Ovis aries: one gene and its partners. The protein of the gene in region 2 interacts with the protein of the main gene of each other region in a pairwise test. Links are inferred from orthologs where the notes say so. Each region holds a gene or a part of one and is shown on either strand. Other genes may lie near its edges.

Evidence for each region.
Region 1: the proteins of HOXA1 (region 2) and ADAMTSL4 interact in binary tests that used the Homo sapiens proteins (3 or more experiments, as listed by UniProt). The two-hybrid records come from large-scale screens. The link is inferred for Ovis aries from reciprocal best matches to the Homo sapiens genes HOXA1 and ADAMTSL4.
Region 3: the proteins of HOXA1 (region 2) and CHRD interact in binary tests that used the Homo sapiens proteins (3 or more experiments, as listed by UniProt). The link is inferred for Ovis aries from reciprocal best matches to the Homo sapiens genes HOXA1 and CHRD.
Region 4: the proteins of HOXA1 (region 2) and CCN3 interact in binary tests that used the Homo sapiens proteins (3 or more experiments, as listed by UniProt). The link is inferred for Ovis aries from reciprocal best matches to the Homo sapiens genes HOXA1 and CCN3.
Region 5: the proteins of HOXA1 (region 2) and MGAT5B interact in a two-hybrid assay, tested with the Homo sapiens proteins (2 studies listed by BioGRID). The two-hybrid records come from large-scale screens. The link is inferred for Ovis aries from reciprocal best matches to the Homo sapiens genes HOXA1 and MGAT5B.
Region 6: the proteins of HOXA1 (region 2) and RGS20 interact in binary tests that used the Homo sapiens proteins (3 or more experiments, as listed by UniProt). The two-hybrid records come from large-scale screens. The link is inferred for Ovis aries from reciprocal best matches to the Homo sapiens genes HOXA1 and RGS20.
Region 7: the proteins of HOXA1 (region 2) and SLIT1 interact in binary tests that used the Homo sapiens proteins (3 or more experiments, as listed by UniProt). The link is inferred for Ovis aries from reciprocal best matches to the Homo sapiens genes HOXA1 and SLIT1.

What each region holds. Positions count from the first base shown.
Region 1 is NC_056054.1:100,567,421-100,571,661, reverse strand, and holds the start of ADAMTSL4 (ADAMTS-like protein 4), read right to left. Parts: upstream 2,801-4,241; 5' UTR 2,616-2,800; intron 2,472-2,615; exon of another isoform or gene 2,389-2,471; intron 1,899-2,388; exon of another isoform or gene 1,784-1,898; intron 1,210-1,783; exon of another isoform or gene 976-1,209; intron 83-975; 5' UTR 1-82. UniProt on the Homo sapiens protein: Positive regulation of apoptosis. May facilitate FBN1 microfibril biogenesis.
Region 2 is NC_056057.1:70,524,166-70,528,431, forward strand, and holds the start of HOXA1 (homeobox protein Hox-A1), read left to right. Parts: upstream 1-1,466; 5' UTR 1,467-1,847; coding exon 1,848-2,493; intron 2,494-2,958; coding exon 2,959-3,314; 3' UTR 3,315-4,266. UniProt on the Homo sapiens protein: Sequence-specific transcription factor. Regulates multiple developmental processes including brainstem, inner and outer ear, abducens nerve and cardiovascular development and morphogenesis as well as cognition and behavior.
Region 3 is NC_056054.1:203,596,902-203,600,905, forward strand, and holds the start of CHRD (chordin), read right to left. Parts: upstream 2,801-4,004; 5' UTR 2,792-2,800; coding exon 2,644-2,791; intron 2,436-2,643; coding exon 2,332-2,435; intron 1,845-2,331; coding exon 1,715-1,844; intron 1,592-1,714; coding exon 1,463-1,591; intron 1,371-1,462; coding exon 1,271-1,370; intron 1,149-1,270; coding exon 1,061-1,148; intron 704-1,060; coding exon 562-703; intron 446-561; coding exon 305-445; intron 223-304; coding exon 140-222; intron 64-139; coding exon 1-63. UniProt on the Homo sapiens protein: Dorsalizing factor. Key developmental protein that dorsalizes early vertebrate embryonic tissues by binding to ventralizing TGF-beta family bone morphogenetic proteins (BMPs) and sequestering them in latent complexes.
Region 4 is NC_056062.1:57,929,185-57,933,125, forward strand, and holds the start of CCN3 (CCN family member 3), read right to left. Parts: upstream 2,801-3,941; 5' UTR 2,742-2,800; coding exon 2,631-2,741; intron 2,504-2,630; coding exon 2,278-2,503; intron 991-2,277; coding exon 736-990; intron 1-735. UniProt on the Homo sapiens protein: Immediate-early protein playing a role in various cellular processes including proliferation, adhesion, migration, differentiation and survival. Acts by binding to integrins or membrane receptors such as NOTCH1.
Region 5 is NC_056064.1:54,245,288-54,248,787, forward strand, and holds part of MGAT5B (alpha-1,6-mannosylglycoprotein 6-beta-N-acetylglucosaminyltransferase B), read right to left. Parts: intron 996-3,500; coding exon 921-995; intron 541-920; coding exon 284-540; intron 1-283. UniProt on the Homo sapiens protein: Glycosyltransferase that acts on alpha-linked mannose of N-glycans and O-mannosyl glycans.
Region 6 is NC_056062.1:34,909,352-34,912,851, reverse strand, and holds part of RGS20 (regulator of G-protein signaling 20), read right to left. Parts: intron 778-3,500; coding exon 468-777; intron 1-467. UniProt on the Homo sapiens protein: Inhibits signal transduction by increasing the GTPase activity of G protein alpha subunits thereby driving them into their inactive GDP-bound form.
Region 7 is NC_056075.1:18,144,938-18,148,437, forward strand, and holds part of SLIT1 (slit homolog 1 protein), read right to left. Parts: intron 1,840-3,500; coding exon 1,696-1,839; intron 1,421-1,695; coding exon 1,254-1,420; intron 1-1,253. UniProt on the Homo sapiens protein: Thought to act as molecular guidance cue in cellular migration, and function appears to be mediated by interaction with roundabout homolog receptors.

The DNA of each region.
Region 1 (4,241 bases), on a different chromosome or scaffold from region 2:
GGGGATTGGGAGGGATGACTTCTCAGAAGGACAACTCAGAGTGAGAATGGAGGGGTGAAGATTGGTCCATCCCTTAATGATCCTAAAGGTGAGAGGGAAAAGGAGCACTGCCTTTGTCCATCTACCCAAGCTGAAGGGGTGGAGGTCTGCCCTCAGCCTCCCAGCTCAGGCGCAGTCCCCTCCTTCAGCTTCAGGAACTTCTCAGCTCCTGTGTCCTAAACAGCGACTGTCTCTAGGCCAGCTCAGACACATGCATCTTTCTTAAGAGGGTTGAGGAGGGAGGTTCAGTGAGGACTTTTCAGACATCCTCTCTGAGCTGCTGACTGGAAGCCCCCTGGGCTTTCCATTCCCACCTGCTTCTCAGCCTTTTCTTGCCTTCTTACCTAATAAGCTCCTTCTGGAACACTTGACACAACTGTGCCTATCTCAAACTTTGCAGCCAAGGGATAAACTAAATGGGCTGATGGTTTATCTCTAGAGAAGCAGGTGATTTTCCCCAGTGATATTTAACTTCCCTCTAGGGGCCAGCCTCTGGCATTGGATCAATGAGGCCTTCCTTCAGGCAAGACTCTGATGGCTGGGGGAAGCTGGGGAGGGGAGATACAGCTAGAGAGGCTATTGGTCCCCAGTCACTCATGGGTCTATCTTCTGAAGAGCCAGGAAGTCCATCCTGCAGTCTCAGCTTGATCACTGGAGAAGTGGAGCTTGGAACCCTCCCCTGGTCTAAGCCTGGCTCTCCCATGGCTCCCCCTGGCCCTCCAGTCCCTTCACAATGAACCCTTCCCACCCCCACTCTTCATGCTGCTCTGAGCTCTGCTTTCCAGGAAAAAAAAAAAAATGTTTCTGTTGGATCTGAAAGGCACCCGGGAGAGGAATCCAAGGAGCTAATGCTGAGGTGGGCCAGCTCAGGGGCAGGAAAATGACAGAGGGAAGGGCAGGAATGTGCTTGGAGGTAGCAAATCCATTCCCCCTCACCTCCCTGAGACCCCAGCGCTTGGGATGTTGAGAAGGATCACAGTGGCGGGGCCTGTGCCCGAACGGTCTCCTCAGCTACTTGGGGTTGTGAAGGGGGTTGCTGATGGCTGCTCCTTCCCTTGGCTGGGCTGACCACTGAGGTCAGCAACTCCGCCCTGATGAGGAGGCGGGTAGGGGCTCCAGAGAAGGGCCAACATTCCACCCAAACCTTCAGCTTTCAGCCTGACTCCCTTCCTGGTGGTTGAAGAGAAGGAGATGGGAGGCTGGTCACTGCCACTTCTTGCTGCTGGGTCCCCTCTCCACTTCCTCTGCCTCTGCTTCTCTCTGCTACCCCAGGCCTGTGTCTAGCTGTCTCTCTCTATGGGTCTACCCAGTACACATAATCCTGTCCTGAGCTGGGTTTGGCTTTGGCAGCTCCCTGGAGAAGTGAGGGGTGGGGGGTGGGGTGACGTGAGCTCCTGGGGCCAGGGCCAGGCCTGGCTCCCTCTCTGGAAAAGTCCTACCCCACCCCCCGCATAGCTGGGCAGGGGGCCGACACATGCACACACAGGCACACACAAACGCTGCAGAAACAGATACACATTTGTGGTTTTCAGTCTTTTCATGTTTTCCGTTTCTCATCTGGTGAGCCTCACTGTCCAGAGTGAAGAAAGGAGAGGTCAGACAGAACTGGCCATTCTTGGGCCCGGCTGACACTGGTCTAGACAAACCTGGGCTCCTCCCTGCCACAACTCCACACTGGCCAGTGGAGATCAAGGAGGAGTGACCTGGGCAGAACTAACCGCTTCACTAACCCCAAGAGACCTACCTCTGGGGAACAGTGGCACTGAGGGGCAGGGGGTGGGTCCAGGGCTCCAGGGCTGGCTGCAGAGTCCTTGTCTTGGGCGAGAACTCCTTGGTCCTCCTTGTGCCACTCCTGGGTCCTGGAGGCCCACCCAACAGGTGTCCTGCCTTTCTAGTCGTCAGGCTGAGCTGGATTCGGGGCACCCACTTGTAACCCTCCCAGCGTCTGTGCCCCCCAACCCAGGACGGAAGCGGATGACAGGGTTGGGGGGATGGGGGAGGAACGCATCATCCAGAAATACCGTTCCAGAGGGGAAGGGCAGGAGGTGCCCGGCGCGTGCCGGGAGCTCCTGGGTGTGTTTTCCAGTTTTATTCTGTGTAGGAATTTTGGCTGATTCTTCGTCCGAGTGATGGGGCCAGCGTTCCAAGAGATCAGAGCCCCCTCCCCAGGAATTGGACCCCAGGGACTGGAAGATCTTCCGAGGCTATAAGAACTGGGGCCGGGGTCGTGGCTGGGGCGCGACCGCGGGGCTCGGAGAACCCGGACGGCGCGGCGGCGTGGGGCGGATGGTCTAACCAGACGGGGGAGAGAGGGCGACCGGGGCCAGGGGTCCCAGGGAAGATCTGTACCTGCTCTGCGCGGCCCCGGCGGCCAGCTAACCCCTCTGCGCCCGGGCGCTCCCTCCAGGCAGCCTCGCTCCGCGGCAGCCACTGCGGCCCCTGGGCCGGGCTACGGCCGCCTCCGGCCGCGGCTCCGCCCCCGCCCCGCCCCGCCCCGCCCCGCCAGCCCGCCCGCCACGCGCCCGGCGGCAGCCCCCCGGCGGCCCCCGAATCCCCAGCCCGCCAGGGCCACCCACCCTGGGCTGCGGGCCTTGGCCGCTCCCGCCCGGCACCTGCCGACCGCTCCAGGGGGCGAGGCCGAGGAGGTCCCAGCCGGGTTCCGAGGGAGCCATCGCGCCAGGGCTGTCCCTCGACCCGGCTGGGGCTCGGGTCTCCGGGACCGCGGTCTCCCGACCGGCTCTGAGTGGGCGGTGCGAGCGCTGCGCCAGCCCGGGCGGAGCGGCCGCGAGGGGCGCCAAGGGGTTGGTGGCGCCGGTACCCGAGCGGCGTGGGCGAGCCCCGCGCCCCACATTGGGGCGTTGCTGGGCTGGGAGATGGTCAAGCCTGACCTCGATTCCACGTTGGTCAGGGCCCTCTCCATCACGCAGCCTCCCGTGCAAGCCCAGTTATCCCTGCTTCTCCTAAATTGGACTGTGAACCATGTGGTTCTGACTGCTCAGGGACCCTCTAAGCCTCGGTTTCTTCATCCATAAATGTTACCTACGGGGCGTAGCGCAAGGAATGCGCTGATTTAGGAATCAGAGGATCTGGATTTGAATCTCCCTCTGTGATCTTGGATGAATGCTTCAACCTTTCTGTGCTGCAGTTTCCTCATCTGTAAAATGGGGTTAACCTGACATACACGAATAGGCTTGGAGATATGTCTGCCTAGTTACTTAGATCAGGAAGAATACATCCCAAACTCGGAACTGGGGGCAGCAGCTGGGGAGGGGTTGGGAGAGGAAAATAAAAATATAAGCTTTCACTTTTTTACTCTGTATGCTTATATGTTTTTGAATGTTTAACCACAGGCATTATCTGTTTTTTATGGTAAAGAAATAAATAATACACGTAAAATGACAGAGTAGATAAAGTCATTATTTTTCTTGTCACCACTATTTTAAAAGTTTTATTTGCCATTTTTTCATGAACTACAGTCATGTACTGTTGGGTCTACTCTCAAGCATTTGAAAGGTTTTATTTATTTATTTTTTTCCAGTGACTTGTCAATATTTTAAAACCAGGATATTCAGTAGCAGGGTATCAGGTGTTCCCACCTAATACTTATTGAGCACTTTCTGCACTTGGTGTGGAGGGCACAGTTAGAACAGCCTCTGGCCTTAAGGAGTTGGGTCTAGTTGGAGACAGACTTGGGAGGTAAGTACTGGACTCAACAGAAGCAAATGTTGTCTCAAGAGATGAGGGAAGTGAAAACATAAAATGCTTTTAAGTATAAGTATTATATCCTTATTTGAAGTTCAATATCTATATTTTATTATAATTTATAAGTTATATAATTTATATTATAAAATTATAATTTTATTATGATTTATTATTATTTCAATAAACCCCTAAGTTTTCTCAAGACAAGGACCATTTAGGCCACTTTGTGTCATCTCTGTTTTTTCATCTTTTGTATTTCTGTTTTGGTTTTTGTATTTGTAGAGTTAATAGAAATATTTGGAATGAAACAGAACAAACAGATGAGTCCCAGGTGCCCAGGCCTGCTTTCTGACTTTTTTTTTTTTGCTTTCTGACTTTAAACTCAGGCTCACTGGGTGGTGGGTAAACTGGCAGGGAATCCCTGAGACTCCTGTTATTTTGTGGGGTGCAGGACAAGATTGCTAAAGCATTTATTTTTAAGTTTTTATTTCTCAAGAATC
Region 2 (4,266 bases):
ACACCTCTGAAATGTGCCTGCCTCAAGCAAAACTTCCTTTTTTTAACCGGGAAGGGAAAGCTGGAGGGGAGTGGGAACCCCAAAGTCACACACAATCAGATAAATTTGATCCGTTGGATCCCCATATGGTGAACATGGTCAGAGTCAAATCTGTACAGCATTGGCTGCAAAATTCTTGTATGATGTCTGGACTTCTTTTACCTAAGAATGCATCAATTCTTGGCTTCTGTTTGGCCTTTTCTCTCTACAAGCCAAAGGCTGACACAAGGCCTAATAGTAAAGAGCAGTTAACGACCCCGTGGGCATCGGGGTAAGAGGAAGGTGATGGAGAACAGGAACGCTGTCCTGGGATGACGCTCAGATTTGCACGTGTCTCTCTAGGGGTAGACTTGCAGGTTTACACAAGGAACTACACAGTCAGTTACAAAAGGGAGGAGGTGTTGCTGGGGAAGAAGAGAATGTCCTGTCCACCATCAGCCATCTGTCCCCCGCCCCTCCCACCTGCCAGCTCCCACCCCTACTTGAATGGGAGGGTGTAGATAAAAGAGACTCTACCACTTCTAACGTCCCCCTCCAGAAAACAAGAAACCTTGCGGGGGTGGGTGGGGGTGGGGAAGAGGAGTTCATCGTACTTCGCCGGAGCTGTGGTCTCACCCTTTGAGGCCCGGATGGGAGCCTGCAGGCTCCTTGTTCCTAGGGAGCCGGCAGATGGCCTGCAGCGCAGGGCCCGGCCCCCACGCTGGCCACGTCCGCTATCGTCATCTCTCTCTCCCCTCCTCCTAGCCCTCAAAATCCAGCGGCGGAGTTGCTCCCCGTAGGGCTCCCGGAGCAAAGCTAAGTGGGGAGGAGAAAGGGGCGGAGAGCGAGGAGAGAGGGAGGGCGAAGAGCCGGGCCACCCCTAGCCTTGGCCAGCAAGCCTAGCTCCCAAGGCTCACCCTCTCTCCCGGGCGTCGAATTACAGAAGCTCCCGGTTGCCACACTAATAGCCAGAGGGTGGGGAGGATGGGGAGGTGTGTGTGCGGCGGGGGGGTGGGGGAGGCGGCGGGGGAGGCGGGAGGAAAGGAGGCTTCAGGACTCTCCTTGAGGAAGGGAAGTTTCCTTTCTTGCCCTCGTTCCCTCCACGCCCACTTGGGTTCCTCCGAACCAGCCCTCTGCGTACTTTCCTCCCGACTTTGGAGACCTGGTGGCCTAACCATGTCCTACGCCACCGTTCTCGGTCCTCCTCAAGGAACCATAGGAGGGACGGAAGCCGGGAAAGCGACCCTTTCAGTTCCTGGCTTTCCGGGCTCGGCCAGTGTGCTAGTGGCCGCCCAGCGAGCTCCTCCTCCCCACTGATTCCCAGCCCGAGAGACCGCGGAGCCCTTCGTGCTTCTCACCTTTTGCCAATTAATCTTTCTGGGCGCGGTGGGGAGGGGGGCGGTGACGGGGGATGCCTTCCAGCCCCCACCTCCCGGAGGGGGGAGGGCGATTGGAGTTGGCGCGCGCAGAAAGCAGCTTCTGCTCCCCTTCGCCTTAGCGCTCCGCTTCTGCCCCTGCGGCCGTCGCAGCTGCTGCTGCCGCCCAGGCTGCCTGGGGGGGCGACTGCGCGTCACCTAGACTGGGGAGCGCCGGGGATTTAAATGCCACTGAAACGGTGATCCATCACTGCAGGAGCCAACAAACTTTCTCAGGAGGCTCCGCCATTGGCTGATAGAATCACGTGCCCCTCCCGTAGCGCCCTCCGCCCTCCCGCCCCCCCTCTTGCGCACTGTACATTCATATCATTTTTCTTCTTGGGCCCCATGGAGGAAGTGAGAAAGTTGGCACGGTCACCCAGGACTTCGCAGGACCCGGTCACTCAGTGACAGATGGACAATGCAAGAATGAGCTCCTTCCTGGAATACCCCATCCTCAGCGGTGGCGACTCGGGGACCTGCTCAGCGCGAGCCTACCCCTCCGACCACGGAATTACAACTTTCCAGTCGTGCGCGGTCAGTGCCAACAGCTGTGGCAGCGACGACCGCTTCCTAGTGGGCAGGGGGGTGCAGATCAGCCCGCCCCACCACCACCACCACCATCACCACCCCCAGCCGACAACCTATCAGACTTCTGGGAACCTGGGAGTGTCCTACTCCCACTCGAGTTGTGGTCCAAGCTACGGCGCGCAGAACTTCGGCGCGCCTTACAGCCCTTACACGTTAAATCAGGAAGCAGAAGTAAGTGGTGGGTACCCCTCGTGCGCTCCCGCTGTTTACTCTGGAAACCTCTCATCTCCCATGGTCCAGCATCAGCACCACCACCAGGGTTATGCCGGGGGCGCGGTGGGCTCGCCTCAGTACATTCACCACTCATATGGACAAGAGCACCAGAGCCTGGCCCTGGCCACGTATAATAACTCCTTGTCCCCTCTCCACGCCAGCCACCAAGAAGCCTGTCGCTCCCCTGCGTCAGAGACCTCTTCTCCAGCACAGACCTTTGACTGGATGAAAGTCAAAAGAAACCCTCCCAAAACAGGTCAGTCTTGCCATTCCATGAATGCTCCTTTATGATTCTGGAAGGAGCTGGTATGCTTAGTTTCCATGAAAAATTAATCTTTTTTTTTTTTTTTCTTCTTAAGAAAAGTTCTTGCCTCCCACTTCTGTTATAGGGTGTGGAGAGATTCCCCAGGTGCTTTGGGGGCAGAGGAGCATCTGGGACTGTTGTTTCCAAAGGGGCTGAATTTTAGAGGTTTAGGAAGTGGGTAGGTGTGTGTGTGTGTGGAGAGCATTCTGTTAATATCTCCAGGCTCCATTAATCATGGTCTGACCATGCTAATGGTTGACTTCAGTTCAACACCTTACACCTCATCACTCACCCTCCCAAGCCCGGATTAGGTTGAGAAAGTCTTGATTCTCCCTTTTACCTGAAGGTTGCTCTGAAGCGTGTAGGGAATCTGATATGATTATAAACATTTTTACCTTTTCCTCTCATTGCCCCCAGGGAAAATTGGAGAGTATGGCTACGTGGGTCAGCCCAATGCGGTGCGCACCAACTTCACCACTAAGCAGCTCACGGAGCTGGAGAAGGAGTTTCACTTTAACAAGTACCTGACACGCGCCCGCAGGGTGGAAATTGCCGCGTCCCTGCAGCTCAATGAGACCCAGGTGAAGATCTGGTTCCAGAACCGCCGAATGAAGCAGAAGAAACGAGAGAAGGAGGGTCTCTTGCCCATCTCTCCAGCCACTCCGACGGGAAGCGAGGAGAAGGCTGAGGAATCCTCAGAGAAGTCCAGCTCCTCGCCCTGCGTTCCTTCCCCGGGTTCTTCTACCTCAGACACTCTACCTACCTCCCACTGAGGCTGCCCCAGCCCCACTCAGCAGCCAGGGCTACTCCTCACACTGGGACTTCTTACCCAAAGCACATTCTTAGCTTATCTTCTTTCCATTTACAATCTCTCTCTCTTCCTTTCTGATCCTATCTGGGGAACTCCTGGCTGGGGATAATGTGTTTCCAGAGAATTCTAGATGAGAGACTTGATGTGGGGGTGGGGGGAAAGGGGTGTTAGCTCCCTAATGCAGCTTGAGCGCCAGCATCAATTTTCTGATGGCCCCTAACACCCCTACTTTTAAGAGATTTCGAATGAACCTACTGCTCCTTTCAGATGCCCTTTGGAAAATAGTCTCCTTTGCCAGCAGAAATATATCAGAGGGAGGCCTCTCATCTTTTATCTATCTGTATATTTACAGTTCTCTCCTACTTTGCCCTGAAAGTAGGCTGGAGAGAGAGGAGAGTCCAAGAGCTCATGAGGAAGAGATTCTCTATGAGCGTGTTTACACGATTAATTCATCCCTTAATTTAATTCCATGTGTGTGAGTTTGCTGGTTGTAAATACTTTGTCCTGAAAGATTTATCTTTATACAGATTTTCTAGAAATGTTTAGATTAATGTTTAGATTAAAACAGGATGGGCAAACTCTCAAAGCTGGTACAACTTTGTGATTATAGGTTAAAGAATAAAAGTTCTCACTTAAAATCAATCAGATGCCTTAGAAGGTAGTCTCAGTTTGTTCCTTCAGTGAGTTAAGAAGGCCTGCAGAATACAGGGGTCAGAAACCTTGCTTCCTGGGCTAAATCTCTCCCCATCCCCAACCCTTTCTTGTTTCTCTGGCCACACTCTATTTAAAATTTGTGCTGGGTTATCTGGGACCTAAAAGTATTATTCAAACCAGCTTCTTCCTTCCACAGTTATCTTAGCTGGATATGATGTATTTTCAGCTCAGTTGTTAATGTGATGGATGGCACAATGAAT
Region 3 (4,004 bases), on a different chromosome or scaffold from region 2:
CAGCACCAGCCAGTCCATCTCCTGGGCTGTCAGGTTGGGCAGCACTTCAGCAAAGCCCGGTTCCTGGGGGCAGAGGAGGGTGCGGTGGGCACAGCAAGAGGCTAGAGCAGGCGGCAGTTAGAGCCAGACCCTCACTCACCTGGGCTGAGGCATTGGCTTGGAGCTCTCGAAGTAGCTTCCCCTGGTGTAGAATCCGGAGCCACAGGGGAACCTGGGCTGGTCCTGCAATAGCCACACACATGGAACCTCTGAAAGATGGGTGCTCTCCCTACCCTCTTCACGTGTCTGCCCCCATCCCGCTTACCCCCACTCCTGGACTCCAGGAGCCCACGGAAGAGCAGCAGAAAGTGCAAGGAGTCCTCTGTGTCACTGAGAGTGAGTAGGGCGATGCCCCCTATGCCTGGCTGTGGGGGCCCTTCCAGGGTCAGGATGGCACTGAAAGTCTCTGGGGAAAAAAGGACCACGAGAGCCCATCAGAAAGTGCCCCCCTCAGCCCACTCCATTTCTGGGGGGCCAAGAAGACTCTGAACTTCACGTCCAGGAGAGATTGGCTCCCCTCACCTGCAGCCAGGGCCCGGTGCCGAATGAGAGGTCCCCAGACCTCCCCTGAAGGGTGAGTGGGTGTCACAAGTGCCACATACAGCTGTTCTGCCCTAAGGAGTCGCAGGGACAACCGAGGCACTGCCCGCCACACCCCGCAGACCTGGAGCAGAGAGACAAGAAGGCCCTCTCAGTATACAGGACATGCCTGCTGAGAGGCCCATGTCTGGTGAGAAAGGAATACGGGAAGCTGTCCCCAGGCTCTCCTAGGATGTGTAAGAAAGGGCCCTGGAACCAGATGCCAGGGTTCAAATCCCAGATCCTCCACCAACTAGTTGTATGACCTTGAACAAATCACATTCTGCTACTGAGCCTCAGTTCCCTCATCTGTAAAATGGGCATCATAATGTCAGTGCCTCTCTCCCACTGGGCTGTTGTGAGGACCCGAGGAGGCAATGTAGAGCATGCTCTCAGCATAGTGCCCAGATGGGATAAGCACTCATAAATGGCATCATCTCACCAGGCCATCTTGGGTGGGCGCTGCAGGGTGTTCAAACAGGATGCTGCCAGTGGAGTCAGAGAAGCGGATTCGGGTAGGGCGGTCCAGCCTGGTAATGAGCATCCCTTGAGCACCGGCTCTGAGCCTGGGCCAGAAGCGCTGCTGCAGCCTCTCCAAATTCTCCCTCCCTGGCCCCGGGCTGACCCCTCCTCCCTCCTTCCTCTTTCTCACCGCCGGTAGGAGATGGAGAACCGCAGACTGGAGCGCTGCAGCGACACTCGAGCCCGCGCCACCGCTTGCGACCTTGGCCCTGTCAGCAGCGCCACGAAGTCTGCGAGGGGAGGAAGATGTCCCTAGTTCCGTCACCCGCTGCTGCGGCCCGGCGCCTGTCACAACCCCAGTTCCTACCCGGCCTCTGCCTACCCGTGTGGCCGTCTCCACGCCCCCGATCCTCAGCTCCTGGCTCCCCACGGTCGCTGTAGCTTCGGTGCTCTGGGTCGCGTGGATACTCGAAGGCCAGGCCCGTCGGCTGCTTTTCCGAACTGCTGTGCTCTGCACCGAGGGTGGGGGACACGGGTTTCGGGTGGGCAAGGAGAGGGCCAGTTGACCGTTCCATTCCGCCCAGCCACGCATCTCGGCCCTGCCGCCCTCCCCTCTCCGCGGAGCCGGCCTTACCCTGGGGGCAAGTCTGGCAGCAGTGTCCAGGCAGCTGGCGCGGCTGCCCACACGCCAGGGTTGGGCACTCGGGCTTGATGTTCTTGCAGCTGACCCTGCCTGCGCCCCTTGCGCGGCGACCCCACTGAGGCTGCTCACAGAGAAGACGGAAAGCCGAGTGAGGGCAAGACATCAATTGTTGAGAATCAAAGGCAAGCCGAGAAGGCATCGGACAAGGTCAAGGTCGGCCCACGGAGTCAAGAGTGCTTTGCTACCTACAAGCTGCGTGACTCTAGACAAGTTACTTAACCTCTCTGGGCTGCGCGGTCCCCGTCTGAAAAACGGGAGCAATGATACTCTCTGTCTAACGCGGTTGTACTAGGAGTTAAGTGAGAGATGAAATGGAGTTGGCTAAGAGCCTGACACAGTGGACGATCAATAATAGGCAACACCTGAGACTTGAAGGGGGCGCTTCCTCTCCTCTATCCTTCCTCGTGCCTCCTCCGCCAAAAAAATTATCCCAAATATCTGCAGACTGGCTTCTTTCTCTTCAGCAGCTCCGGGTCCATCCGACGTCCCAAGACCTCAGCGCTCCCCGACCCACAGGGCCCCCGGCCACAGCCATTGGGTCCACTCACCGCCTCGCAGGCGCACAGCACGCAGCGCATCACCCCGAAGGGCTCCCCCAGGTCCGGGTGCCACGTCTCGTCCAAGGCATAGACCTTCCCGCCGAAGGAGCAGCCTGCGGGGACGGGCTTGGCTGGCGGCCGCTGTCCCGCTCCTGCCGTGTGCCCGCCCCGGGGCGCTGCGGGCCGGGCCCCGGGTCCCTGGGCACCCCTCCGGGCCGCCCGCCGCGCCGAGCCACCTGCGCCCTGCGCCCCCTCCGGGCGGGCGCAGACTTGCCCCGAGCCGCACTCCCCGCCCGCGCCTCCCCCGGGGCGCCCTCCTACCTGCTGCTCCCCGAACGGGCAGCGGCTCCTTCTCGGGCCGGATAGGCAGCGCGGGGTGCTCGGGGCCGGCGCCGCGGGCCGGCCGGGAGCCGAGCAGCAGCAGCCCGAGGAGCAGCAGCGGGGCCGGCGGGGCCGGGAGGCTCGGCATGACGCGAACGGGACAGCTGGGGAGGCGGGAGGGAGGAGGGAGCGACAGAGGGAGGAGGGAGACGCGAGGAGGGCCGGGCCGGGGGCGGTGCGGCGGGAGGGGGCCGGGGCCAGGGCCCGAGCGGTGCGGCGAGGGGCTCGTCGGGCGGCCGCGGAGTCGGCGCCGGGCCGGGCGGGGCGGGAGGAGCGGCCGGGAGGAGCGCGGGCGGGCGGGCGCTGACCCGGGCCGTACGCGGCTCTAGTGCCCCAGGCGCCGGCTCTGGCCCGTTTTATGCCCCGCGCCCGGCGCCCCGGCCGGGGGCCTCCTCCTCAGCAAACGGGGCGGCGGCGGCGGCTCGGCGAGGGGCCGGGCTGAGCCCGGGGGGTCCGGCCCAGCAGCAGCGGCCCGGATCGCGAGTGGGGGAGGGGAGGGAGGGGCTGGAACCGGGCAGGGGAGGAGGGAGGGGCTGTAGGGGAAGGGGGAGCGGAGGGGATAGGGGGAGGGGAGGGACCAGGGGGCGCAAAGCGGGGAGGAGAGGCGGATCTGGAGCCCCCACCACCACCCACCCGCTGCCGGCGTCCACGGGGCAACTGGACCAGGAGGTGCATGTCCGGCCCGGGACGGGAGCCCCAGGCCACGGAGAGGCAGAGACGGCCTGAGGCCTGGGCCGGCCACTGCGCTAGGACTGAGTTCCTGCCGGAAGGATGAAGAATTGTCTTTAAGGATGACAACGGGCAGGACGGGCCCATCAACTCATCTTCGCCTGTCTCTGGGCCCACAGCACCACTCAATCCCCACACCACTCTCATTGCCCAGCCTGTGTCCCTACATCCCCTCTGAGATCTCTCCTCTTTCCTCTGTCCCTGGGATAGGAACTTAGCCAGAAACAGACGGTATCCCCTTTCTGTCTGCTGACAGCATTTCTCTCCCTACTATTACCTGTGCTCAGGCCCATCCAACCATCCTCCTCCCCAGCCTGACACACTTCCCCACCCTCTTCCTTCACCTGCAGGACCCTCTGCCTCTCCACCCTACCCACAACCTCTTTTGTCTTACTTTCCCGGTCGTGACAGCCTCCCTGCCACCTCCCACCCCCACATTCCCACCATCCTCCCAACCATCCCAGCACCCTCCTTCTTAATCTTGGGAGGCATCTGGTCTGGCTGAACTGGAGAATTCCGGGATCTAGGCCATACTCCTTAGCAGAGAGCCCCATCCTTGGGAGGAGGAGCAG
Region 4 (3,941 bases), on a different chromosome or scaffold from region 2:
AGCATCTAGAAAGGTGGCATTTCTCTGTGACACTTGTCCAGGGATGGCATTCCTTAGGGGAGATAGTCTTGAGAGTGCATAGGTAGTTGACAGAATCTAGAAAAGAAAGAGCTATCACCAGGCCCTTTGCAAATGACCTAAAAGTCATTCCCCTTGAATTGATAGCCTTCCGCATTGGCTCATACAGTAAAAAAAATCTTCCTGCAATGTGGGAAACCTGGGTTCAATTCCTGGGTCGAGAAAATCCCCTTGGGAAGGGAATGGCTAACCGCTCCCATGAGCCTGGAGAGCTATAGTCCATGGGGCTGCAAAGAGTTGGACATGACTGAGTGACTCACATAAATTGACTCTTGCCATAAATATAGAAGCTATATCAATTGTGTGTTTTGCATAAAGTTGCTAAAACATACCTTTGCAATGTTAATAAGGGTCAAGTGAGACAGACTAAAATATAAATAGTAGTCATGTAATAAGATTACAAAAATCACTCCTATGACTCAAAAGAACCACTGAACATGACTCTTCTTCAGGAGAGGCTGTGTGCATACTTCCATAACTTGGCTGGGATTCCCACACGTGCTATGTCTAATCTCCATGGGCCAGCTGGACTCCAAGAATGAATGGCCAGAAACTGAAGCTGGTTTCTCACTGCAAATCCCAAAGAGCACACGTCCTTCCTGCCTGCATGTCCTCCCGTGCTGGGACTGTTAAATTCAGCTATGTTGAGTTTCTCACCTGGAAGGGTCTGGAGGCCCCCTAATGTCCCCGTCTCTTTGGTGTCACAGATCCACTTTTCACAGCACTCCCCTGGCACTTTAACTTTTCTGGGAGCTGGGCAGTCGGGCTGGGGCAGTAGCAAGTCCTCTTCACAGCGGGGCACACAGCCAACCTGTCCATCTTGGCAGGCGCACTGGTATTTGCAACTTGGCTGGAAGGTCTCCCCACTCTGGTAGATGACTCCATCGAACACACAGTTGTCTCCTTCTACCGCTAGAATCATGGGGAAGAAGAGCAGAGAGGGAAGGGGCTTCCCTGGTGGCTCAGACAGTAAAACACCTGCCTGCAATGCAGGAGATCTGAGTTCGATCCCTGGGTCGGGAAGGTCCCCTGGAGAAGGAAATGGCTACCCCACTCAGTACTATTGCCTGGGAAATCCCATGGACAGAGGAGCTTGGCTTGCTACAGTGATTATTAATGGCGTGGTGAAGAGTCTTGGGGAAGAAGAGCAGAGAGGGAAGGGGAGAGAAAAACAAAACAAAACAAAACAAAACAGGATGCACTGGAGAAGCTATAGAAGATGCACAGCACATGTTCCAAACCCCAATTCATTCTTTCTCTAGTTGAAGGCATCTGGTTGCTGATCTGTCACCAGTAGAGAGATGTCCTCATGGAGCTTCCCAGAAGAAGAAAAGACACTCAAGACCACCCAGTCCTGCCACTCATGTTACGGATGAAGGAAGAGGGGCCAGACTGTGAAGTGACACTCCCAAGGTCACACAGCTTTTGCTCCCAATGAAAAGGTCGTTTTGCAAGAACCTCCTTAGATTCTCCTATTCCAGGAGCTCAGAATTTAAAAGAAAAACAGAGCTCTTCAGTCTCCAAACAGGTTAACTGGGCAAACTGGGAAGGGCTTCAGATTCTTTGGCATCCCAGCGCAATAAATCATCGCTAGTTTAGAAAAGAAGCTAAAAGACTATCCCAAGCCCCCTCATCCAGGGAGGTGGGGACAGCCTCCAGCTAAATGGTACACCAGGTGGGAAACCGACTGGTTGAGTTTCACCAGCTTGATTTTACTCACAACTCATACAGGGGTTCCATAGGTCCCAGGAGAGTAGGGGCTGCTTTGGCTCAAATGGGACAATTACAGGTGTGAAAACAAACCTGAATGGCCACAGTTGGGGGAACTCTGAGCCTGTGAGCAAGCCCAAGTTTCCATCACCCCCCAAGCATCCCCTGGAAACGTGGATAGGAAATGACTTCACTGGCCCTTAACTCTGCTCTGCTCCCAGTCTACTTGGATTCTTCTCTAGGGAGGCAAGTGACCAACGCTTCTCACCTCCACGGGAGGGCAGGTTTCCTTCCAGCTTCTGGCTCTCCTCCAAACCCCACGCGACCCCAGACCATCCCTGGCACAGGCGCTCCATAAAAATCAACTAGGGCATCATTACGAGTATTTGCGCACCACCCTCTGGGAACAAAGGGAAGAGGAGAGGAAAGAGGGGACAGCTCCGCTATTGAGAGACAGGAGATCAGGTGGCGGGGTGGGGGCAGGTTTACCCATGCAGATGCCAGTCTGGGCGCTGGGGTCCGCTCTGCGGTCGCAGAAGAGGCCGCGGCTCTCCTCGCACGGCAACAGCACCGAACAAGTCTCGCCGCGCTGCCGCGCGCACACGAGGCAGCAAGAGCAGTCGTCCAGCACCGCTCTCACCCCAGGGGCGCAGGTCGGAGGCTCTGGGGGGCACGCGGCTGGGCACGAGGAGGGGCAACGCTCAGCCGCAGCGACCTGAGGGCGGGAAACACCAGAAGGAGAAACTTCTCATCAGGGATGCTGGAAAGCCGAGCGAGCCAGAGACCGAGCAGGGGCTTTGCTCAGAAAGTAACCAGAGGCACCTGGTGAGTGCGCCACTCACCTGTCCCAGGAGACGGAGGAGCAGGAAAGCCAGGCAGAGGCACTGCTTGGGCAGACCGAGACTCGGGCTCTGCGCACCCTGCATGTTCAGGCTTTCCCCTGTCGCTCTCATAGGCCTTTTCCAGGTCGGAGATTGGCTCTGCTCGCCCCGCTCCAGGTCGGGCTCGCCCCGGGCCAGCGCCACAGCGCAGGTTTTATAGCGCGCTCCTGGGACGCGCACAAGCCGGTTGGCTGCAGCTCAGGCAGGAGGCGGGGGGACCGGCGGGGTGGGGAATGGAACGAACCCCGGGGTTGCCATAGCAATTGGCTGTGGGTGCCGCTCTCCTTTGGGCGCGGCCCTGGGGCCTGCGTGTGCCTGTGTGTGGCGACTGGCTTTTCCCAGAGCTCCGGGCGGGGCTGGGTGGAGGACCGGGGCCAGGACCCAGAGCTCGCCGAGCGCGTGGGAAGGAAACGCCCGTTTCCTCCTGGAAGCGGCTGCGCCTTCCCCCAGGACTAAGACACCGCCACTCCCCATCACGCTTCTCCGCCTGGCCGTTCCCAGCCGGGTTGCAAACGTGGGGCTCCCCTAAAGGGTGTCTGATGTTTGCGACCATCTGTGGGGGGTTGGCGAGAGGCCCAGGAGTTTAGTCATAAAGGAAGCACATGCAGGTTTGTCACTGTTTAGGGCACGCTCGCTCTGAGTGTGGAGAGCTGGGGAGTGGGGGAGGGAGGAAGGGAAACAGAGAAGGGAGAAAGTAGTTGGGGGCTGGGGGTAGAAAGTAGAAGTCTTAAAGTTAGGATGGGGGGATGCTATTGGCCAAAAAGCAAAGTTTTTGTTGTTTTTTTAAATTTTTATTTATTTGGCTGTAACAGATCTTAGGTGCAGCTTGGGGTATCTTACATTGTGGCATGTGGGATCTAGTTCCCGGGGACCAGGGTTCAAAGCCCCGGCCCCAGAGAGTTAGTCACCGGACCACTATGGAAGTCCCAAGGTAGAGTTCTTTTGACTCTAATCATTTCAAGCCCTGCTGATTCTTAAATCCCCATATCTGCAGGTTTGGTAGAAATACAAGTAAAACATAATGGAATGAAAATATGAGAGCCTGAGGTACATAAAAAAAGTCCTTTCTTGTAGAGAAAAACACCTTCAAACACCTGTGGTATGATGCCTCCCATGAAAGGGCACCTGTCAGAATGTAAGAGCCTCTGAGGGTGTTTAAGATGGCTTGAGCTCAGGCCCTGTCAAAACCTCAGCAAATTAAGGAAGGACTGGGAAGGTACCTCCTTTCCCGAGCTGGCATTCCAGCACATCAAATCCTTCTTCCACCTGGCA
Region 5 (3,500 bases), on a different chromosome or scaffold from region 2:
AGGAGGGCAGGGCCACAGGCTGACGCATCAGGAGGAATCAGGCAGTTTCTGCGGCCTGGACCTAGAAGATGCCCAGACAGGCTGGGCAGGGGTCTGAGGCTTTGCCAAGGGTGTAGAGCTGCAATGTGGAAACCTGCCTGGAAGGTCCTTTCCAGATCCTTCCTCTCTGGGAAGCACTGAGTCCCCCTCACCCTTGCTGGCAGGCCAGGGGGCAAGGTGGTCAAGGGAGTGACAGGCTACAGGTGAGGTCAGCTGGGCCAGGTCAGGCAGGGGGCTCACTCACTTCTGGAAGGCGTCCTGGCTGTTGAGGAAGGGGAAGAACGAGGGCTCACAGATCAGCCCGTGGTCCAGGCAGGCGTCCGTGCAGGCCCTCCCCGTGGCAGCCAGCCAGGCCCGGAGAGAGTGCACTGGGGGCCAGGCCCCCGGGGCTAAGCTGGTGTTGTGGGCCCATTCGAGATGGGTGGCATTGGGAGCCAGGATGAAGGGGCTTTGCGGGGCTCGGGCCCCAGGTGGGGCAGGAGCCGGGTCTACACAAAAGTCCTGCCGGGAGGAAAGCAGAGTTAGGAGGAAAATTGGGGTGCCTCTCTCCCGCCGACTCAACCTACTCCCTACTTCCCCCTCACTTGCTACCAAACTTTTAAACAGCTTTATAATAAAATGAAAAATAAAAGTATTTGGATTTCCATGCTATGATATGGAGGCTGGGATGCTAGAGCTGGGGGTCCAGGAGAGGGGCGCTCCAGGCCTGGTCTCTGAGTAGTACTGTTGTCCCCCCAACAGTCCATCTCCACCCTTCACAGGGAAGAAAACAGGCTGGAGAAAGACTGGGGGTTTAAAGCACCCTGCACCCCAGGCAGAGGTGGGTCCTCAGACTCTGGAGCCATCCCACCCCAGAGACAGAGGGTGGGGGACCCACACACCTGGTGCTGGATGTAGGCATGGATTCGCTCCAGCATCCCCTCACATGTGTACTCGTAGGGCAGGTAGGGGTCCACCTGTGGGAGAGACAGGCAGACACATGGGTCAGGAGAAACCCTGGGGCTCCCCAGACCTGGCCGCTCAGCTCTGGGAGCAGAGATCTGGGGGCTCAGGCATCCTGCACCCAGTGAGCCGACCACTCCATCCACTCAAATGCCCTGCTCCTCAGTGCACCCCGCAGTGCCCCCAGGGGCTCAGGACAGCTCATCTCTCCTTGGCTCTCTTCCAGCTACACCAAGTTTTTCCTCTTTCCCTAAAGCTCACTGTTCCATCTCCATTTGGGCTGTGATGTCTGCTCTTTCTGAGCCAACCCCTGGATTCATCCTCTCCTTCCCCGGTGGCTCAGTGGTAAAGAATCCACTGGCAGGAGACATGAGTTCAATCCCTGGGTCAGGAAGTTCATCTGGAGGAGGAAATGACAACCTTCGCTAGTATTCTTTGCTTCCCTGGTGGCTCAGCTCAGCTGGTATAGAATCCGCCTGCAACGCAGGAGACCCTGGTTTGATTCTTGGGTCAAAAACTTCCCCTGGAGAAGGGATAGGCTACCCACTCCAGTATCCTTGGGCTTCCCTGGTGGCTCAGTAAAGAATCTGCCCACAATGCGGGAGACCTGGGTTCGATCCCTGGGTTGGGAAGGTGCCCTGAAGGAGGGCATGGCAACCCACTTCAGTCTTCTTGCCTGGAGAATCCCCATGGACAGAGGAGCCTGGTGGGCTACAGGCCACGGGGTCACCAAGAGTCAGACATGACAGTGACGAAGCACAGCATAGCTTAGATGTCACCTCCTCCAGGAAGCAGACCCAGAGTACCACCTCCTGTTTAACTCCTGTTAAAAGACCACTTTCCTTGGCCCCCACCCCAGGCTTCCCCAGTGTAGAACTGGCTCCTGTGTCATCATTTCTGATGTGTCCCTTGTCTGCCTCAGGTTAGGAGCCCCATGCACTCTGGGACCATGACTTGTTCACCATCGAATCCCTGATGCCTCACCCACTGCCCGGAACACAGTCCTCACTGGGGAAGTAGTCATAGGACGGAAAAGCATCCCAGCTCTGCCTGTGTCCTGCCCAAGATGTGGAAGGTTCACGCAAAGAAACCCAGAGCATCTCTCAGTCTGATGGAATGAGATCACATCTGTGAAGCTTCCTGCCCAGATCAGGCACCTGGGAGCTCCATGAACTAGGTGCCCCAAACGGAGGCCACACACCGTCCATCTAAATATCAAAGTTACAGAGCAGCACACACTGGGGCTGATGGGAGCAGATGGATTTGGCAGCTGGGGCCCGAGAAGTGAAGGGAACAGAGAGAGGAAGTGATGAGGCACCTGCCTCCCGGGAGTGGGGACCCCCACCTCTCCTCCACTCTTCTCGCCTGACCACCCCTGCCCTGTTTACACCAACCCCCCGGTGGCCCAGCACAAAGCCAGCTTGGAGGAAAGATCGGCCAGGTGGGCAGGAGGCAAGAGCAGGCTGACCTGGGAGATAGTCCATCTCAGACTCAGAGAAAGATCTGTTTTAGTCTTCAACACCCATGCCCCACTCCCCATGTGTGTGTGTGTGTAGGGGGGGCACCACACCCAGCCAGCCCACCTCCTGTTAATGCCATTTCCCAGCCAGCAGCGCCAGAAATCAGGTAGCTTCAGCCCTGGTAGTGAAATCCTGCAGGTCTGCTCGAGGCCACACTCCCCCCGCACCTGCCCTTCCTCATCATCAGAGGTGGAGTCAGAGCCCAATCCTGCCTCCAGGAGACCCCACCTCGAGGGGCTGCAGGCCCATCCTGAGCCCTCTGGCCAGGGGGACATGCCCGACATCAAGCTGAGGAGGGTCTTGGGAAGCGGCAGCCGCCACCAGGACCGAGTCTCAGGACAAGACCCCTCCCATCTGACCTTGCCCCAGTCCTCACTTCAACTGCACTGTGAGCTGGAGTCCTTAACCCAGGGGCAGTTCCGGGGTCCCAGAGAATTCCCCGGGTCCACACCCAGCCACATTCTTCACAGCCCATCGACCAGCACAGCTTTTCAGCCCTGAGCTCTGCACAGTCAGTCCCAGCCTGAGCTGCTGGCCGCCGAGGCCCCGTCGCCAGCTGCTGCCCTAGCAGTTCCCCAGTCGCCTCGGCTACAAGGCTTCAAGTCCTGGTTTTAAATAAACCCCCCGAAGAAGAGACTTCCCCTCCAAATGTCAGTGCCTGCTCTAGCAGCAGCCGCCGAGTTATCCCCCTCGTGGTTTGAAGCCCATCACGCGGTGATTCAAAGCCGCAGCCCCCCCCGAATGAGGGGACCTTTCAGAGCAGCCACGTCCCACCTGCCGCGAATCTCCCACCGGACGAGCCAGCCTGCCTGGAAATTACCCCCATTAGGTCTAATTACAGGTGTGCACAGCGATCTGTCTCACAGAATGGCAGGTGCTGGTCCTGCTGGAATTACCGGCCTGTGATAATGAGAACGGCGGGCAGGGAGAAAGCAGGCGTCCCTCCCCCCACCTACCTGCCCCTCCTCTCCCTCCCCTCACCTCGAGTGGCCTCACCCT
Region 6 (3,500 bases), on a different chromosome or scaffold from region 2:
GCGCGGAGAGCTGAACTGAAGCTGGAAGCCGACCTGACCCTAAAATAACATCACGTCATTTCCTCCCTGTCCACCCAAGCCCGCAGTAGCCGGGGGCTGGGGAGTGGGAGCGCGAGGAGGGGGCGGAAACTTGCCCCGGTTGGCTTGGAGTAGCGGGAGGAGAGCGACGCGTAAAGACGGAGAGTTTGAGAAGCCGCCTCGCAGACGGCGGGGGCCCCCTCCCTCTTCCATAGACTCTGGAAGGAAGAGGTCAGGGAAAAGTAGCCTCAGGGTCTCTTGGGGGGAGGGGTGTGAGGCGGGCAGCCGGCGTCTTTTCCTTGAACGTGCGCGGCCGGGTCTGACCTTCCCGCTTGCCCTCCCGCTCTCCCCTTGCTGGCTCCACATGGAGTGGGTCAGTCCGAGTTAGGGAGGAACCCGGGATGCTGGCGTCCCGGCGAGGTCGCGGACTGTGAGACCACAGTACTCACGGGTATGGGCGAGCTCTGCCCGGCGCTGGCGTCCACTTCCCGAGGCAGACGTCCCCCTGAGGGTCGGCCAGGCAGTGCCAGAGCTGCCCTGAGCAGGAGCGAGAGGCGGCCCGGCCGCTCCTCCTGCCCCGGCGAGAGCCCGGCGGCTGGCAGGGCCGGGATCAGGGCGGAGAAGTTCCGGTGCCGCAGGGGAGCCTCAGGAGGGGGTCGCCGAAGGAGGAGAGCGAAGAAGCGCGCGAGGCCGGAGAGCGTGCCGAAGAGGAGGCTGAGCAGCGTCGGGGCAGCGGGCGAACCTGGGAGCTGTGCGGGGCCGGCGGGCAGGGCGAGAGGCGGGGGAGGAGAGAGACAAAACCACACAAGGTCATTGTGGGGTCCTGCTGCAGACCGAAGAGGAAGTGCAGAGTACCAGTTTGCGGCATTTTGAGGCGTTACTTTGGGGGTGCAAGAGAAGTCGGTGAGAGCAAGAGGAAGAGGACTCTGCTTAGTTTCTCCCAGCTGCTAATCCTCCCCTCTCTTCCCTCTCCGCCTCACCGCCTTCTCCTCCCACCCCTTCTAACTGCCTGCTACTTAAGGTGTGGTCCTTGGACCCGAAGATTGGATAATACTTAGGAGCTTGTTGGAAAACCAGAATCTCAGACCCTATCCTGACCCACCGCATCAGAATGGGAATGTTAACATTCCCAGGGAATTCTGAGACCTGTTCCCTGTGAGGTGCAGTGCACAGCAGTGTCTGAGTTCACCTCTCTTGGCTCTTTCGAATATGGTTGAAAATCTCCTACTTCACTTTTGCAACTCTCACTCTGCCTCCTCCTCTCATCCTGCCTCTTTCCCTCTGTCTTGTTCCACCGTCCAAAGTGTCCAGAGCTCTACTAGAGACGGATGAGGTCACCAGGGCCTGTGAGAAGAGTCCAGGGGAGGCCTGGTTACAGGCAGGAGACTGAAGGCCTTCAGGCTGGAGGAAAATGCACTGGCGATTTGATTTCGGTTGTGCTGGGTACTGGGGTCAGGAGAGACCAGAACTTAGCACAATCTACAGCCCCCTTTCCACACACCCTGTGTTCATCTATTCCTCCAGCCAATGCTGGAGGCAGGCCTCCAGCTGAGAGGCAGGCCTCTCACCTTCCACTTGTTGCGTGGGAGATCTAAGAGGCTAAGGTAAAGATAAACTTTTTTCTTGCTATGTATAGGTAAACGTTAATTTAGAACTCAGGGCCTCAGGACTCTACCTTGCTACCAACGCGACGGCTAACCTTCGGAAATTCTTATTCTTTGAGTTCATCCGATTCATTTACGCAGTAAAAGGATTGAACTTTGGCTTTTTGAGGTCACCCTCCTTGTTCAGGTTTTCGGAGCTCTCAGAGCTTCTTGATCCACTAACATTTAGTGAAGTTACAAACCGGAACCTAACTCAGCCAATCCAAACAGCCCCCGCAAGCAAAGTGAAAAGACAATTAAATGTGTGTGAAAAGCAAGAGCTAGTGGTTGCCAAGAAAAATAAAGGTGGAGGCGGGAAGCAGCGAATACAGGCAACCCGGGGGCGTGGCGGGCGTCCTCGGGGCGCGGCGACCGCTCTCCAGGGTCCTGAAGGCGGGAGCGGCCGCGTGGGCTTGGCCGCGCGTCCCCGCTCGGCAGTGGCAGGGCCAAGCCTCTTCCTTTTCTCTGGTGGGAAGCGGGTGTCAGGAGGGAGCGAGGAAACCTAGCAACCCATTCTCATTCATGAGGCCCTTTCTGGGAAGCTGCCGGGCTCTCCGGCTGATTCGTCCTTCGCTTGTTGGTATGCGCCCGGCGAGAGTGGAGCTGGGTTTGCATTTCCGAGCAAGTTCACTGTTGAGCTTCTCTCATTACCTTTTCCTAGAGAACGGGGTCGTTCTCATAGTGTTTTCATTCTCCGCGTGCGGACGCTACTCTCCCCTCCCCCGCTTTCTGGACCTCCGCAGCGTTTATTTTAGGGCTTGGACCCGGAAATCCCCGAGTCTTCTGGATGCGCGCCAAAGGCTCACTCGAGGGGGGAAGTGAGAGATGCCGAAGAGCCCAGAGCCGGCCTCGGCGCCCAGGGTCTGTCTCTCGGGGAGGGACGCAGGCGACCAGCCCCTGGGCGGGGGGTGGGAGGAGAGCTCGGCTGCGGCTACACCCCTGGATCTGGGCGGGATGCCGCTAGCCCCGGGCGCACCTGCGGGGACCGTGGGCCAGCGGCCGCGGCAGCTCCAGAGCGGTGCCCGTGTCCGCAGTCCTATGCCACTATGCTAGGCAAGTCAAGAGAAAACAGGCCTGGTTCCCGGCGACCCGGAATTGGCAAGCCCACCCCGCGGCCTTCCCAACCGGCTTCAGGCAAGCGCTGGAACAGAGCGGAGAGCGCAGAACCGGAGCCGCAGGCGCACCTCTGCCGAGCGCTCGCGGCTGCCGGGGCCCCGAAGGTCGCTCCACAGGCCTTTCGCGGGTCCCGGAATTTGAGTCTCTAGATCAGATTTTCAAGTGGTTTTTCGAGAACATGGAACCTGTAACCTGACTCTTCTCCCGCCCCAGCCCTTCTTCCGGAGTTGCTGGACGCCCCTTCCTCGGCACGCTTCATTAGGCATTGCGCTGCGGTCCTGTGAGCCCAGACAGAGACGCTTGTGAGGGAAACCGCAGACATGTGCAGGCAGAATATAAAAGCCCGGCTCCTCTGGGCCTCTGGAGAAGTTCACCTCTTCCTCTTCTCTAGAGTGGTGTTTTCCCTAGGGCAGCAGTCCGCTCCCCCAGTTCTGGCTCCTGTCTTGCGAAGGACCGCCGGCTTCTCCAACTAGCGGGGATGTGAAGGCTGGAGGCATCGGGTCCTGAAACCCAGCCACTTCCTTTGCTCGTTTTGGCAAGGTCAGAGCACGGAGTATTAAAGCAGCCACAAAATTCCATCCGAGAAAAGTTATCCGAGGAGAGACCTTCAGCCGCAGGCGGCGCGGATCACGCCGAAAAGCCCGGTCTTCTAGGCCAGGTTCTGTATGACAGTCCAAGAGTTTAAGAAACAGTTCCAAATGGAATCATCTTGGAATCTGTATT
Region 7 (3,500 bases), on a different chromosome or scaffold from region 2:
AGGTTGGAATTGGTCTTGGGTTCACCGCTTCCACCTCAGACCTAAGATGGACCCGGGCACAGCAGCGAAGGAGGATGGTGGCCACATCATTTCTTGAGCACCTACTGTGTGCCAGACACTGTACCAATGTAATTTCTTTAATGATGCGGTAAACGGGGACCACCATTGCTCCTAGAATGTGAGCATCGTGGGGACGGAGACCTGTGTCCCTTTCTTCTTCTCTAGTCACTGAAGGGGCCCAGCACTGAGAGCAGGGCCTGGCCCATATCAGCCTCCAGACAGGTCAGTTGAATGAAGGAATGAAGGACTTTCTACCTTACTGAGATTGGGAGAGGTTAAATAGCTTGCTCAGGTCAGGAGGTTGATCAGAGGCAACATGGAGTCTGTACCCAGGTCTGGCTGGCCCAGCATCTCAGCCCCTTCTATCCCAACATCCTTCACAGATTCACTCATGTATTGAATAAACAGTACTGAGCACCCTCTGTGTTCCTTCCTTCCTCTGCTTGAGTGTATGACGGACGATAAGGACACCAGGGTCCCAGGAAGCAGACTGGAAAGGGGATAGGAGGTGCTGAGAAAGGTGGGGAGAAGCCAGGAGGCTGAAGCTGAAGGCAGGCGGAGAAATCCCCGGAGCCGGGGCTCCTGAACACAGACAGCTGGGCCAAGACAAGACCTTGCCCTGTCACTTTGGGTAAAAATCTGCTTCCTACAGTTGCCTCTGTATATGGTGCTCTGGAGGGGGAGGCGGGGGATGGAGGGATAGGCTGGATTCTGTGCGTGTAGGGAAAGAAGGACATGCCCCCGGGAGAGAGATCGAGGACTCAGGGAAAAGACAATCCTGACACAGGAAGTGACCCAAGGACGGAGGGTGGGGCCCCTAAGAGAGTCGGGGTGGGTGCTGCACAAGCTGAAGCCACCGTCTGGAGCCCTCAGGAACAGCTAGGAGGCAGGTCTCTGGGTTAAACTTACTTAAAGACATTACTCTTAAGATGTTAACTATGATTTTCTCTGAGTGACGAGCTAATAGGTAACATTTATGCCCTTCCTTTGTCTGTATTTCCCCATTTTTTAAAAACAGCAAGCCCACCATCGTTCTTATAATCGCACCGGAGACCCCACCAGGCTGAGGCAGGCGCAGGACTGAGTGGGTGTCCTGCTCCTCGCCCCTCCCCTCCCCAGGGGACCCCTCCTCTCTGGGGCACGACCAGGCCCGATCCCCCCACCACCCGGGGCGGGGGGTGCCCACGCATTACCTTCTTCACACCTGAAGTCGGGGGAGGCCACGTCCTGCAGGGGAATCTGCCGCAAGAAGTCTGGGTTCTGGCACCGCGGGTTCCCCGTCACGATCTTCCTCTTGCGCAGCCAGTCGCCCAGCCACGCCAGCTGGCAGTTGCAGTTGAAAGGGTTGGCCAGAAGGTTTCTGGAAGAGGCGAGTGGTGTGACCACAAAAGCCGCCCCGCGAGACTCAGCTGTCCCAGCAAAGCCGGCTCCTGCCTGCCACTTGCTGGCCACACGGTCACCCAGGACCACCAGCAGCGACTAGGAGGTGGCACGTTAACGCGTAAAGACCCAAACGCCTGAGTCCTTCACAGTAACCGCAGAAGACCATCCATGCCCTGCAGACAGGACGAGTGGCCGGGGCTCCAGGGTTCAGCCCGGCCCGCGCCGGCCCTGCGCCCTCCGAGCCGCACTTACAGCGTGGAGAGGGCCTGGAGCGTGTCGAAGGCTCCCGGGGAGATGGTGGCGATCTGGTTGTCGTAGAGCGAGAGGAGGCGCACGTTGCGCAGGCCCGTGAAGCTGTCGTTGTGGATGCAGCTGATGCGGTTGTTCCTTAGCATCCTAGGGCCGGGAGAGGTGCGGGAGCCGGCGCTGTGCCGCACGGCCATCCGCCTGCCCTGTGCTTGGGCCACCAGCGGCCAATTCACAAGTTCCCTTCCGGGGACGCTGAGCCACAGAGAGGAGAGCCCGGCGCCACACCAGCGCTCCTCTCCCAGCCTGCCTGCCTCTGAGATGCCTGCCTCTCCACCCTGCCCACACAGGCCCCCTATGCTGAGGACCATCACCTTCATCCCCGGGTGCCCACAGCCTCCCCAACCTCCAGGCCACGCACCACGGTCAACACCTGAGACTTGCCTGAAACTTAAACCCGGCCATGTCGCTCTCCAGCCTAAAGCCCACAGCAGCCTCTAAACTGTGCACAGAATCCTGTTTAAACTCTTTACTACCCAGCCCCAGACCAGCACCTGCCCACCTCCCCAGGGATGGTCACACTCTCCACCTCTCTGTCCTCCAGGCTTGCTGCCCAGGCCGGCATCCCCACATCTTTCCCCAGCTATGCTCTCCTTCCAGAACAACCTTCTTCCTCATTTATAGCTGCAAAAGTCTCTGTTTGTCCTTGAACACCTGACTCTATTCCCTTTCCCACACAAAAACTAAAATCAAGCCTGACATAAAATAGGCAATTCACAAAAGAAGTTGAATGGTTTAAATTAAAGTGGATGTACTAGGTGAGGGAGATTGAAAGGCACAAACTTCTGCTATAAAATAAATGAATCATGAGCATGAATGGACAGAAATAAAGTTTATGAACATTCATTGAAAAATGTTCAAACTTACTAGTAATCAAGGACATTTAACTGATATTGCATCTTTGCCTGCCAAATTATAAAATCATTAAAAACATAATAATAATAACAATAAGGCCCAGGTTGGCAAGAGGGTACGAGGATGGGCACCTTCATGACAGCTGGCAGGAGAACTACTGGGGACCTCCTGGAACTGTGCCTGGTGAGATGTACCAGGAACCCTAGCCCGGCCCTCTGTGCTTTCACCCAGCAGGTCTAGCTTTAGGGGTTTATCTCTAAGGTAATAATTCCTAATGGGCATAGAATTTCATGACGAAGACATTAATCACAGCATTGCTTGTAATAAAATTAGAATTAGCCTTAATCTCTAATAATTATGTAGCTCCTTTGTCCATGGGGATTCTCCAGGAAAGAAAACTGGAGTGGATTGCCATGCCTTTCTCCAGGGGATCTTCCAGACCCAGGGATCGAACCCAGGTCTCCCACATTGCAGGCAGAGTCTTTACCGTCTGAGCCACCAGGGAAGCCCTATGTAATATATATAATCATTCAAAAGAAATCACAACAATGCTCACATTATGTTTAAGGGAAAAAAAAGATTACTAAATAAAATGTTTTCAAGGATTTCATTAAGATATATCTGTATGTTTGCATGCATGTATGTTGGTGTATGTCTGTATGCATGTAAGTACACGTGTGTGTGTGTGTGAATAATTACCCGTGACCAGCGGAGGGGTTATGGGCACTCCTTTTCCTGTGCCTGCACCATTCCTGCAGGCTCTGTCCAGCACCAGCCCTTCCTCTCTCCTCTGTCTACTCCAAGTCTTCCTTGGAAAGAACTCAAGTGATAGTTGAATGCCCATGGCACCCTCTCTCAAGGAATACTGCATGCATGTTCAGTTGTTCAGTCGTGTC